Nothobranchius furzeri: one gene and its partners. The protein of the gene in region 3 interacts with the protein of the main gene of each other region in a biochemical or structural test. Links are inferred from orthologs where the notes say so. Each region holds a gene or a part of one and is shown on either strand. Other genes may lie near its edges.

What was found. The genes of interacting proteins can lie anywhere in the genome.
Region 1: the proteins of zfyve9a (region 3) and rnf11b form a complex in vitro, tested with the Homo sapiens proteins (2 studies listed by BioGRID). The link is inferred for Nothobranchius furzeri from reciprocal best matches to the Homo sapiens genes ZFYVE9 and RNF11.
Region 2: the proteins of zfyve9a (region 3) and smad3a form a complex in vitro, tested with the Homo sapiens proteins (2 studies listed by BioGRID and IntAct, with this or other methods). The link is inferred for Nothobranchius furzeri from reciprocal best matches to the Homo sapiens genes ZFYVE9 and SMAD3.

What each region holds. Positions count from the first base shown.
Region 1 is NC_091748.1:56,811,056-56,814,202, reverse strand, and holds part of rnf11b (RING finger protein 11b), read left to right. Parts: intron 1-1,466; coding exon 1,467-1,638; 3' UTR 1,639-3,147. UniProt on the Homo sapiens protein: Essential component of a ubiquitin-editing protein complex, comprising also TNFAIP3, ITCH and TAX1BP1, that ensures the transient nature of inflammatory signaling pathways. Promotes the association of TNFAIP3 to RIPK1 after TNF stimulation.
Region 2 is NC_091749.1:43,537,968-43,541,485, reverse strand, and holds part of smad3a (mothers against decapentaplegic homolog 3a), read right to left. Parts: coding exon 3,314-3,518; intron 3,229-3,313; coding exon 3,091-3,228; intron 1-3,090. UniProt on the Homo sapiens protein: Receptor-regulated SMAD (R-SMAD) that is an intracellular signal transducer and transcriptional modulator activated by TGF-beta (transforming growth factor) and activin type 1 receptor kinases.
Region 3 is NC_091751.1:42,024,082-42,028,143, reverse strand, and holds the end of zfyve9a (zinc finger FYVE domain-containing protein 9), read right to left. Parts: intron 3,383-4,062; coding exon 3,232-3,382; intron 3,132-3,231; coding exon 3,051-3,131; intron 2,976-3,050; coding exon 2,813-2,975; intron 2,504-2,812; coding exon 2,398-2,503; intron 1,048-2,397; coding exon 871-1,047; intron 801-870; coding exon 639-800; 3' UTR 503-638; downstream 1-502. UniProt on the Homo sapiens protein: Early endosomal protein that functions to recruit SMAD2/SMAD3 to intracellular membranes and to the TGF-beta receptor.

The sequences.
Region 1 (3,147 bases), on a different chromosome or scaffold from region 3:
TTAATATTGATTGTGAATCGATTTAAATCGATTTCGAATCGAATCGGCACCCTGAGAATCGGAATCGAATCAAATTGTGAGTTGCTCTGAGATTCACATCCCTAGAAAGTACACACTGCTGTAATGCAAAAATTGTTTTTTTCTAAATCACTTTAAAGTAAGAGTGAGCAGTTTTCTGCTCCTCCATCCTACTGGTTGAAAGTACGATAACAACTGTTGTAAACAACCCAACTGTAGCTAGCACTAATAACAAGCTAACACAAATTTGACCTAACTAATGCTAAAATAAACCATGAAATAAAAAGATCCACACTGTAGGACAAAAAATATTTATAAATACTTATAAATCCAGTAGCAACAAAGCCAGGTCACAATCAGTCCGTGATTTTGTAGCATCCTTTAGCTCCCTCAAACTAGTGTAGGCCATGCTTATGTTAACTCTGGTTGTAGCTCTTTGCTTCATATCAAGAGACATTACTCTTACTTTTACTTCCAGGCTCTGCCATGATGCCAACAGAAAAAGCAAACTTCTTCTTTTTCTGCTTTATATTGATGATTGGCAAACTGAAAATGCTAACCACTAACATTACAGCTAACAGCCATAAAGAAGGTAAAGAGCGCCTCCTAGGACACCTACCTGCTCCACTAAACTATTAAGTGCGGTTTTTGGTCAGCGGAGGGCCGCAGAGTGTTGTCAAAAGCCAGTTTCACATTTGGCCCAGGCTGGGTGGCTCCAGATCAGGGTCCTGCACCGGTAGGTTTTGTTCACACATTCTTTTTAGGAATGTGGAAATCTCAGAGCACATGGGCAGGGAAAAGATGCACTGAGAAATCTGTGATGCCTCCCTTAAGTTAAGTAAACAAAGCGTTGCTTTTGCATTCTCTGACTCTGATATTGCATCCTGACTGCTGTCTGTCCTCGCGCAGGGCAGCATGCAAGCCTCCACAGCGCTCCCTGTGTGTGTGCTCTTCACAGCACGTCTCAGTGACAGAGACAGAGAGCTCCTGCAGCTTCAGTCAGAGGCAGTGTTTACTCCTCAGTTTCCAGAATGATAATGAATCCCACATGCGGAAGCCCCTGCTGGCTGATTTGTCTTTGTCAGTCAGAGGCTTCCCTTAATGGTAGGCATGAATTTGAGCCAGTCAGTCGGTCTGCAGAGGTTGTGTTGGGTCAGTTCAGCCCAAAGCAGCCCGCCTGGGGAAGAGGGCTGAAAATATGGTCGGTGGAGCACGAAAAAAAATACAGGCTACCCAGATGTGAACACAATATACCATACCTGGGCCGGACCGACCCTGATGTGAAAACGGCAAAGCTGGTTAAGTTTACTAAGATAAATGTTAAAGCTTTAGCTTAAAGTAAAATCTTTTTTTTTTTAGTAATTTTCATTTTGATACACCAGAGAAGTCATTGAGATAGGTCTTGTGCATTGAGGAGAGTTTACGATGGTATGTTCTCACCTCTGCAGGTGCGTCATCTGTATGATGGACTTTGTTTATGGAGACCCCATCCGGTTCCTGCCCTGCATGCACATCTACCACCTGGACTGTATAGACGACTGGCTGATGAGATCCTTCACCTGCCCCTCCTGCATGGAGCCTGTGGACGCTGCGCTGCTCTCCTCCTACGAGACCAACTGACACAAGCACCCCCTGGACCACACAGGACCTGAACAAATCCATGGACACTCTAAATACACTAAACATCAACTTCCCCAACTTATATCCTGGATTAGTAAGATGGTGATTTCAAAGCATTGATCGTAAAATAACGTAGGATGAATAATGTTTGTGCATAAAAATTTATAATTATAAATATATGTACGGTGTGTGTGTGTGTACACCATTTCCTCAGTTGGCCTGCTGGACAGGACTGCATCTGAGAAAGGACAGGAGGAATAAAGAACAAGAGCAGGGAGGAGAGAGGAGTCAAAGATGAGTGCAGAAAGCCCGGGTGTGTGCATGAAGCGAGCGACAGAGAAGCAGCTGGAACCTGTGAATATTAACTATCATGACTGAGAAATATTTTTATGTTCTGTTTTCAAATTTGGCACACACACACACACACACACAAACAGAAGCATACTCCCTTCCTTTTACTTTCATTACAAGAATGCAGATTGTTTTTCTCTGTCTGTTGGTAAGTGAAAACTTTCATAACCGAAGGAAAAGTTGATTGGTAGTTGTATTTCCTAAGAAACTGTTACAGGGTTGTTGTAGACGAGACTAGTAGAGACGAACACACAACATAGTAGCACAGACTACCAGGCTCCCTCCGTCTTCTGCACACCTACCTTGACTTGTCTCTGCAGATCTTTCCTGTGAAACGTTAGCTGAATGGTCGCTGTGTCGATTGGCTGTTCTGTGGCTTTGTGAAATCTGTTCTTTAGTTATTTTGCAAATCAACATAAGGACTTCGTGTTGAATCGGTTTACCAAAAACACAGACTCAGCAAAAGGAAGTATGTGCTTCACTCATTCATGTGATGATGCTAAAATTATCACTGATGAGATCTCAGACTACAGGCCAAAGCAAAAAGTCAACAGATGAGCGACACTTTGATCAGAATTTGAAATTTGCAGTACTTAAAGGGATTTTTCAGCTGTTTTTAAGTAGGTTCCTGTGTAAAAGTTTTAAAGAATTACTGACAGAACTAGTTAGTACAGTCAAGAACAAAGTGCACTCTCAGAAATCTAATGTTGAATTTACTTAACCAAGTTATGTCAACTGGTTCCACTAAACCTATTACTTAAAGACCAAGTTCATTGAGAAACTGTTGTTTACTTGTTAGTTTTGAAATATGATTAGTCACTCTTGAGTTTCACATGCAGGCTTATTGTGAAAATAGTCTTCTACCCTTGTTTCCTGCATTAGCCACCAATAAAAAAGATGAAAATACTAGGATTAGACAAGCTCAGATCAACTTCACACTGTCACTTAACATCCGTCATGACTCGCGACGGCTGTAGACGTTTAGTGTCCAGGGAATGGTAGAGAATATCTCGGCTAGTAGAAGCTAACTATTAGCATTAGCAACTTTACCGCATGGGAAAACTCCTCCAGGCTTGTGTTATTTGTGGAGATGAAACATCCGTGTTACAACGTAAACTGAGTGAGTCGAGGAGATTAGATGTCAGAATATCAGAACAT
Region 2 (3,518 bases), on a different chromosome or scaffold from region 3:
TGTCGAGTTTGGTGGCAGGAGAATCTCGTCTCTGCTTTTTGCGGATGATGTGGTCCTCCTAGCTTCATCCAGCTCTGACCTTCAGCTCTTGCTGGGTAGGTTCGCGGCCGAATGTGAAGCGGCTGGGATGAGGATCAGCACCTCCAAATCTGAGACCATGGTTCTCGACCGGAAAAGGGTGGCTTGCCACCTCCGGGTCGGGGGAGAGGTCCTACCTCAAGTGGAGGAGTTTAAGTATCTCGGGGTCTTGTTCACGAGTGAGGGTAGGAGGGATCGGGAGATCGACAGGCGGATTGGTTCGGCGTCTGCAGTGATGCGGACGCTGAGCCGATCTGTCGTGGGGAAGAGGGAGCTGAGCCAGAAAGCCAGGCTCTCGATTTACCGGTCGATCTACGTCCCAATCCTCACCTATGGTCATGAGCTTTGGGTAATGACCGAAAGAACGAGATCGCCGATACAAGCGGCCGAAATGAGTTTCCTCCGTAGGGTGGCCGGGCTCAGCCTTAGAGATAGGGTGCGGAGCTCGGACATTCGGGAGGGATTCGGAGTAGAACCGCTGCTCATCCGGATCGAAAGGAGCCAGTTGAGGTGGTTTGGGCATCTGGTCAGGATGCCTCCTGGACGCCTCCCCGGGGAGGTGTTTCGGGCATGTCCTGCCGGCAGAAGGCCCCCGGGTCGACCCAGGACACGTTGGAGAGGTTACATCTCCAATCTGGTCCGGGAACGCCTTGGGGTCCTGCCGGAGGAGCTGGTGGACAAGGCCGGGGAGAGGACGGCCTGGAGCTCCCTAATTGGGATGCTGCCCCCGCGACCCGGACCCGGATAAGCGGAGGAAGACGAAGACGAAGATGTACATCTCCTTTAAGCCCCATGAGATGTCTAAGCTGCAGCTGTTACACACCTGCTTAGACTCTATCAAAACCTGGATGGCTGGGAGCTTTCCACAGCTGAATGAAGATAAGACTGAGATCCTCATCTGTGCCCAAGACAAGCTGGTTCCCAAAGTCAGAGACTCTCTTGGTCAGCTTGCTTCTCACACCAAACCCTCTGCCAGGAATCTTGGAGTGACCTTTGACCCAGCTCTCACCCTGGACTCTCATGTCAGTTCTCTTGTTCGCTCTTCCTTCTTCCATCTCAGGAACATTGCTAAGCTGAGTCCCATTCTGTCCCGCTCTGAACTTGAGACAGTTATCCACACCTTCATCTCCTCACTCTTAGACTACTGTAACTCTCTTTTCACGTGTCTGAGCAGAACTTCCCTGAACCATCTACAGGTGGTTCAGAATGCCTGTGCTCGGCTTCTGACCAAGTTCTCCAAATACACCCACATCACCCCGCTTCTCCTCCAGCTTCACTGGCTGCCAGTCAACTTCAGGGTTCATTTCAAGATCCTGGTTCTGGTCTATAGGGCCTTACATGGACAAGCACCATCATACATTGGTGATCTTCTTTGTCCCTACACCCCCAGCAGGTCCCTGAGGTCCAGTGGTCAAAGCCTACTGGTTGTGCAGCACCAGGCTAAAGACCAAAGGTGACAGATCATTTGCTGCTGTGGCCCCCAGACTCTGGAACTCTCTCCCCCTGAGCCTGAGATCAGGGGATTCAGTGGTCTCCTTCAAAAAGCAGCTGAAGACTCACTTGTTCAAGCTGGCTTTTGTATGACCTTCTTCACCACTCTCTCTTTATGCTCTTAGTTACTCTCTCTCTTTCTTAACCTTTTTTTAATCACAATTGTCTATTTTTGCTCATTTAAAATATATTTTTAATCATTTTCCATATTTTTTACATTTTTTGTTTTTGTGAAGCACCTTGTGATTTTTATCTTGAGAGGCGCTATAGAAATTATATTTTCTTCTCCCCCCCCCCATCCCCCCCCCCCCCCACCACCACCACCACCAAAATTAAACAAGTGCCAAGGATATCCGATAAGATTATCTTCAGAGCCATCACAGTAATCTGCCGTGGGATCTTCAGAAGGGGAGAATTGGGTCAAGAAGTACCCTGCCGTGTGAACCGGTCTGTAGAAGACTGCTTATTTGAAAGTAACTTAGGAGATGAAACATTCGCGTAAGAACCTACAAACTCCAACATGGACCTGAGCAAACATCTCCTTTGGTAAATAAAGAGCTCATGTCTGTGTTTTTAATGAGAGGAGAGATGAGTCAGAGGAGATATCCTTGAGTTGATGATGACAGAGGTGATGTCACAGATAAGATGATATATAAGCAGCACAGCAGCTGAGAATAACTCAGTTTTAATTCATCTAGACATCTAATAACACCTAATTCTCACAAAAGGTTCCTGACCATACACACTACATACCATACCAAGTTTATTTGTATAGCACATTTAAACACCGCATGAGAGCCGACCAAAGTGCTGAACAAAAACACACAATAAAAACAATCAAAAATAAAAACTAAAACCATTAAAATCGAGTAATCCAACTCGAAAAGAAAAGGAGAAAGAGAATAAGTTAGACTGAATTAAAAGCCAACGAATAAAAGTGAGTTTTTAAACGAGACTTAAAAAGGGAAAGAGAGTCTGATCAGGAGGGGCAAGTGGTTCCAGAGCTTCGGTGCACAAACCGAAAAGGCGAGCTCCTCGCGGGATTTACAGCGAGAGCTAGGGACATGTAGGAGGTGCTGGTCGGCTGATCGGAGGGATCTTGTAGGGACATACGGGTGAATGAGCTCAGACAAGTAGCTAGGTGCTAAGTTATTGAGGGATTTAAATACAAAAACCAGGATCTTAAACTCTATACGGAGATGGATGGGGAGCCAATGGAGATTTGCTAAAACTGGTGTGATGTGTTCTCGCTGCCTGGTGCCAGTCAAGAAACGAGCTGCTACGTTCTGCACAAGCTGAAGTCAAGCGAGGGTGGAGGAGGAGATACCAAAGAGCACTGAATTACAATAGGAAGTAATAAATGCATGGACAACTGAATACACACTACATAGTTTCCAACACAGCTGGGGATCAAGCTACCAACCCAGTTTCCATCCATCACTCTACGCTCTCATCTGTATCTTTTCCCAACTCATCACAGTCTATAAAGGATTCTGCTGACTCCATCAGCTGGACACACACCTGGGGGGATCTTGCAGACAGTGGCGGGGTGCCAACCATAACGCTGATTACAGTTGGGGCTCTGGACGAAGATAGCGCTATCACTGAGACACTCTGCAAACACTTCTCCTCCGATGTAGTACAGCCGCACACCACGCCCTGAGAGAGAGAAACGCAGAAGCACGGATGTCACAGAGACGTTAACCAGACAGTTTTATCTGTTATAATCAGAGCTGATGCCCACCGATGTGTCTGCGTGTTAACTCCACTGCTGCATTGCGGTTGACGTTGGACAACAATCCGAGGCAGAAACGCTCAGAGTTTGAGGGGTCTGTGAAGCCATCCACCGTCAACGAGGGCTGTGAGGCGTGGAAGGTCTCCCCTACTCGCTGGTTCAGCTCGTAGTAGGAAATGGAGCACCAGAACGCTGGCTCACAGTATGTTACTGG
Region 3 (4,062 bases):
GAATAAACGGGTTTTGTGTCAGTAATCTAGTTCAACAGGACATCGGACTCTGACGTCACTTTTCTGTAACAGATCTGGAAGCTACACGTGTAACATGTAGGAACTGCTCTGCTTATAAAAATATACACAAGTCTGCAGCCATGACGGAAAGCGTTTGGTGACTGAAGAGTAAAGCTTGACAAGTGACCCCCCTGATGATTCTTTGCTGTAGGCACTGAGCACCACGGTGCAAAAAAACAACAAAAATCACCACACAGGCACCTTCTTCCACCTCCAGCGATCTGTAGGTTTCTCCCCCTCAAAGTTTCCAGCGATGGATCTGCAACGGTGCTCGTGCTACAGAGGCAAGTTTTACCCACAGTTCTTTGCTTCAGCGCCTCCAGCTGACTGTGACTTTGGGAGGAAGCTGAGGAGCATGCAGGTCTGTCCAAATAGCCACATGTGGTGTTATTTAGGCAGTGGCTGTGAGGCTCCGCCCACCCACTCACACTTCCTCAGACACCAAAACGCCTCTGGGTCAAAGCAGATGGTGGGTGGATGCATAGCTTTGACTGAAGAAACGCCACAGTTGTGTGGTTCTGCTGAGGTGAGGAAGGTTGAGGGGAGATGACATGGGGGGGATGGGGGGGGGGGGTTCTCTAGGAGATGATTTCCAGGATGTAGAAGACCAGCTCCATGACTACCGGGCCTTCGCTCAGCTGACAGGCTCCGCTGTGGATGACTGGGATCAGAGCGCTGTCCAGGTCGCTCAGGTACTGAGGCAGGAGAGGCTGGCCGTTACTTCCTGCCAGGTAACCCACCTGAACAGGTGAACAGAGAGAAGTCATCCGACAGGGACTCCATAGTAACTTGTCTCTGGATCTGTCCTACCTGGTCAGAATCCAGCGTTACCCTGAGGCCCAGTTTGGCCATGCCGTCCTCCTTCAGCAGCTTCAGGTGTGGACACAGCGCCATGCAGAACGCTCGGGCCACGTTCTCCGCCAGCCGGCTGTGGTCGGCCGGGTCGCTCAGGCTGTTGGGCTGGTCTTCACTTTGGAGGAAAAATACCTGAAGGCAATCATGACATTTGACGCATTTGAGTAACGGACAACCTGTGAAAAGATTGATTTGCTTTTTAATCTTTACAGGAGGCAGCACATTTCTGCAGATGAGCAACGTCAGAGTTTAGCCTCTAGTATACCCACAGCCTCCTGGGATGGAGGGTGGTTTGGTCCTGTACATCTCCTTTAAGCCCCATGAGATGTCTAAGCTGCAGCTGTTACACACCTGCTTAGACTCTATCAAAACCTGGATGGCTGGGAGCTTTCTTCAGCTGAATGAAGATAAGACTCAGATCCTCATCTGTGCCCCAGACAAGCTGGTTCCCAAAGTCAGAGACTCTCTTGGTCAGCTTGCTTCTCACACCAAACCTTCCGTCAGGAATCTTGGTGTGACCTTTGACCCAGCTCTCACCCTGGATTCTCATGTCAGTTCTCTTGTTCGCTCTTCCTTCTTCCATCTTAGGAATATTGCTAAGCTGAGTCCCATTCTGTCCCGCTCTGAACTTGAGACAGTTCTCCACACCTTCATCTCCTCACGCTTAGACTACTGTAACTCTCTTTTCTCTTGTCTGAACAGAACCTCCCTGAACCGTCTACAGGTGGTTCAGAATGCCTGTGCTCGGCTTCTGACCAAGTCCTCCAAACACACCCACATCACCCCGCTTCTCCTCCAGCTTCACTGGCTGCCAGTCAACTTCAGAGTTCATTTCAAGATCCTGGTTCTGGTCTATAGGGCCTTACATGGACAAGCACCATCTTAAATTGGTGATCTTCTTAGTCCCTACACCCCCAGCAGGTCCCTGAGGTCCAGTGACCAAAGCCTACTGGTTGTGCAGCACCAGGCTAAAGACCAAAGGTGACAGATCATTTGCTGCTGTGGTCCCCAGACTCTGGACCTCTCTCCCCCTGAGCCTGAGATCAGTGGACTCAGTGAACTCCTTCAAAAAGCAGCTGAAGACTCACTAGTTCAAGTTGGCTTTTGTATGACCTTCTTCACCACTCTCTCTCTATTCTGCTCTCCCCACCTATTCCACCTTCCTCAGGATCCACTGATTTCCCTCTTTCCTATTCACTCTCTCTCTTTCTTAACATTTTTTTAACCACAATTGTCTATTTTTTGCTCATTTTAAATATATTTTTAACCATTTTCTAATTTTTTAAAATATTTTTACATTTTTTGTTTTTTGTGAAGCGCCTCATGATTTTTATCTTGAGAGGCGCTATAGAAATGATACTTTCTTCTTCTGTGAGAGCAGTGGCCTGATTTCCTTCATAAACCTTAGTTTACAGAGCTGTGTGTGTGCGTGCGTGTGTGTGTGCGCGCGCGCGCGTGCGTGCGTGTGTGTGTGTGTGTTACCTCAGTCCAGCGGATGACTTTGCCGTTTGCTTTGAACTCTGAGCCGTGGAAGATCTTTACGCTACTGATGGACTCCATCGATTTCCCATCAATGGGGCTGATGACGCTGAGATGAAGACAGATTTATGTTACACACAAACTAACGGCAGAAGAAAAGATGAAGAGGAGTTTCCTGTCAAAACTCTGGGCGACACAAATACCAGCGCCATCAGCAGCTCTGACAGAGCGATGGCACACAGGCTGCTTCAAGACTCAACAGGAAGTGGAACTCTTCCGAGAACAGAAGCTACATTTACTTTAGCTGATCTGGACCTCGGTCCCATCGTTCTGCAGAGGTTCTGGTTCCCATGAAGACGTTACATTAAAACACCAGCGGGGACACAAAAGGGTCTCCTCCCTCGTCTCTCAGTCTCACCCCTTGTTGAAGTTGTGGTCGTCTTCTGTCCAGACCACTTGGACCTGCTCCTGGCTCTCCTCCTGGTCAGCTTTACCACAAGTGATGGTGAAGTCCTTCATGTCCCTCAGGGCTTGCCGTAGAGAGTCCATCGTCTCCGCTGTGATCTGGATCATCACACCATCTAAAAAGGAGACCCGTTAAAGTTTTGCAGCACTTCTCACAGGGGAAGTATTTATGGTGTTTCTACAGGTCTCACCTTCTACGATGCTGGTCTTGGCTAAGAATCCCGACGAGGCTTTTAGAGCTCCACTGAACACAAAGAAGCAGGCTCCAGTAACTGGAGGAGAACAGATTAAAATAAACAAGTGAAGCCAAGATTCACAGCGGGGTTTTTTGTTTTCAGTCAAACAGACAAGAGTACTGAGGAGAGAAGCCACCTTTACGTGGCTGGTGATGGATGCTGATGGCCTGCGTCTGGTAGTTCCCATCGTCGTTCTGAACACAAACTAAATGGGAGTCGGCCTTGTCGTTGAAACATGCCCCCATGGCCAGCACATGCTCGTTGGACTTGTTCATGGCCTTCATCAGCTGCAAGGACAAACATACCGCAGAACCCGGTTCAAATGGGACGGTTCTGACTGGAGGTTCCACCTGCATCTCTGATCAGAAATAAAACTGAAAATCTGGAGCGCTTTAACCACTTGCTGCGCTAATCGTTCGCCCGCAAGCTGCTGGGCGATGACTCCCACTTCACATCGCTGGTTTCCCATCTGTCAGTGCATCAGCAGCCAAAGCCTGCTCTGACGCTCGCACACACCCCAGAGGCTGAACCGTTATCACAAGTGGGCTGAATACTCCTCTGCAGCAGTGTGCGTTTCATACGTTCACTCACTCAGCTAACTGGTGTTTAATCATTTCCAGCAGATGATTTTTGATGATTACATTAAAGACACTTCAGATAAAAATCCAGCTATTCTCACCGTACCGATGCAGGAGGCTCCTCAGAGCTGAGAACTCTGTTCGTTTTTGGTGTAAAATGTAATTTCAGAAAAAATTCAAACCATTTCAACACAAAGCTGTAAGTGAAACGACATATGAGCCTCGGAGAAATACCAGACCGTTTGGTAATCGTGGTAACGTGTCGAGCATCGTGACTGGGAACGTTTTGTGTTCCATTAGATGCGTTTCTACTTTTTAAACAAATAAATAATGTGAACAACTTAATCGGTCAAAAGAAAAGTGATCCGTGTCTGTAATTAATGAAACTT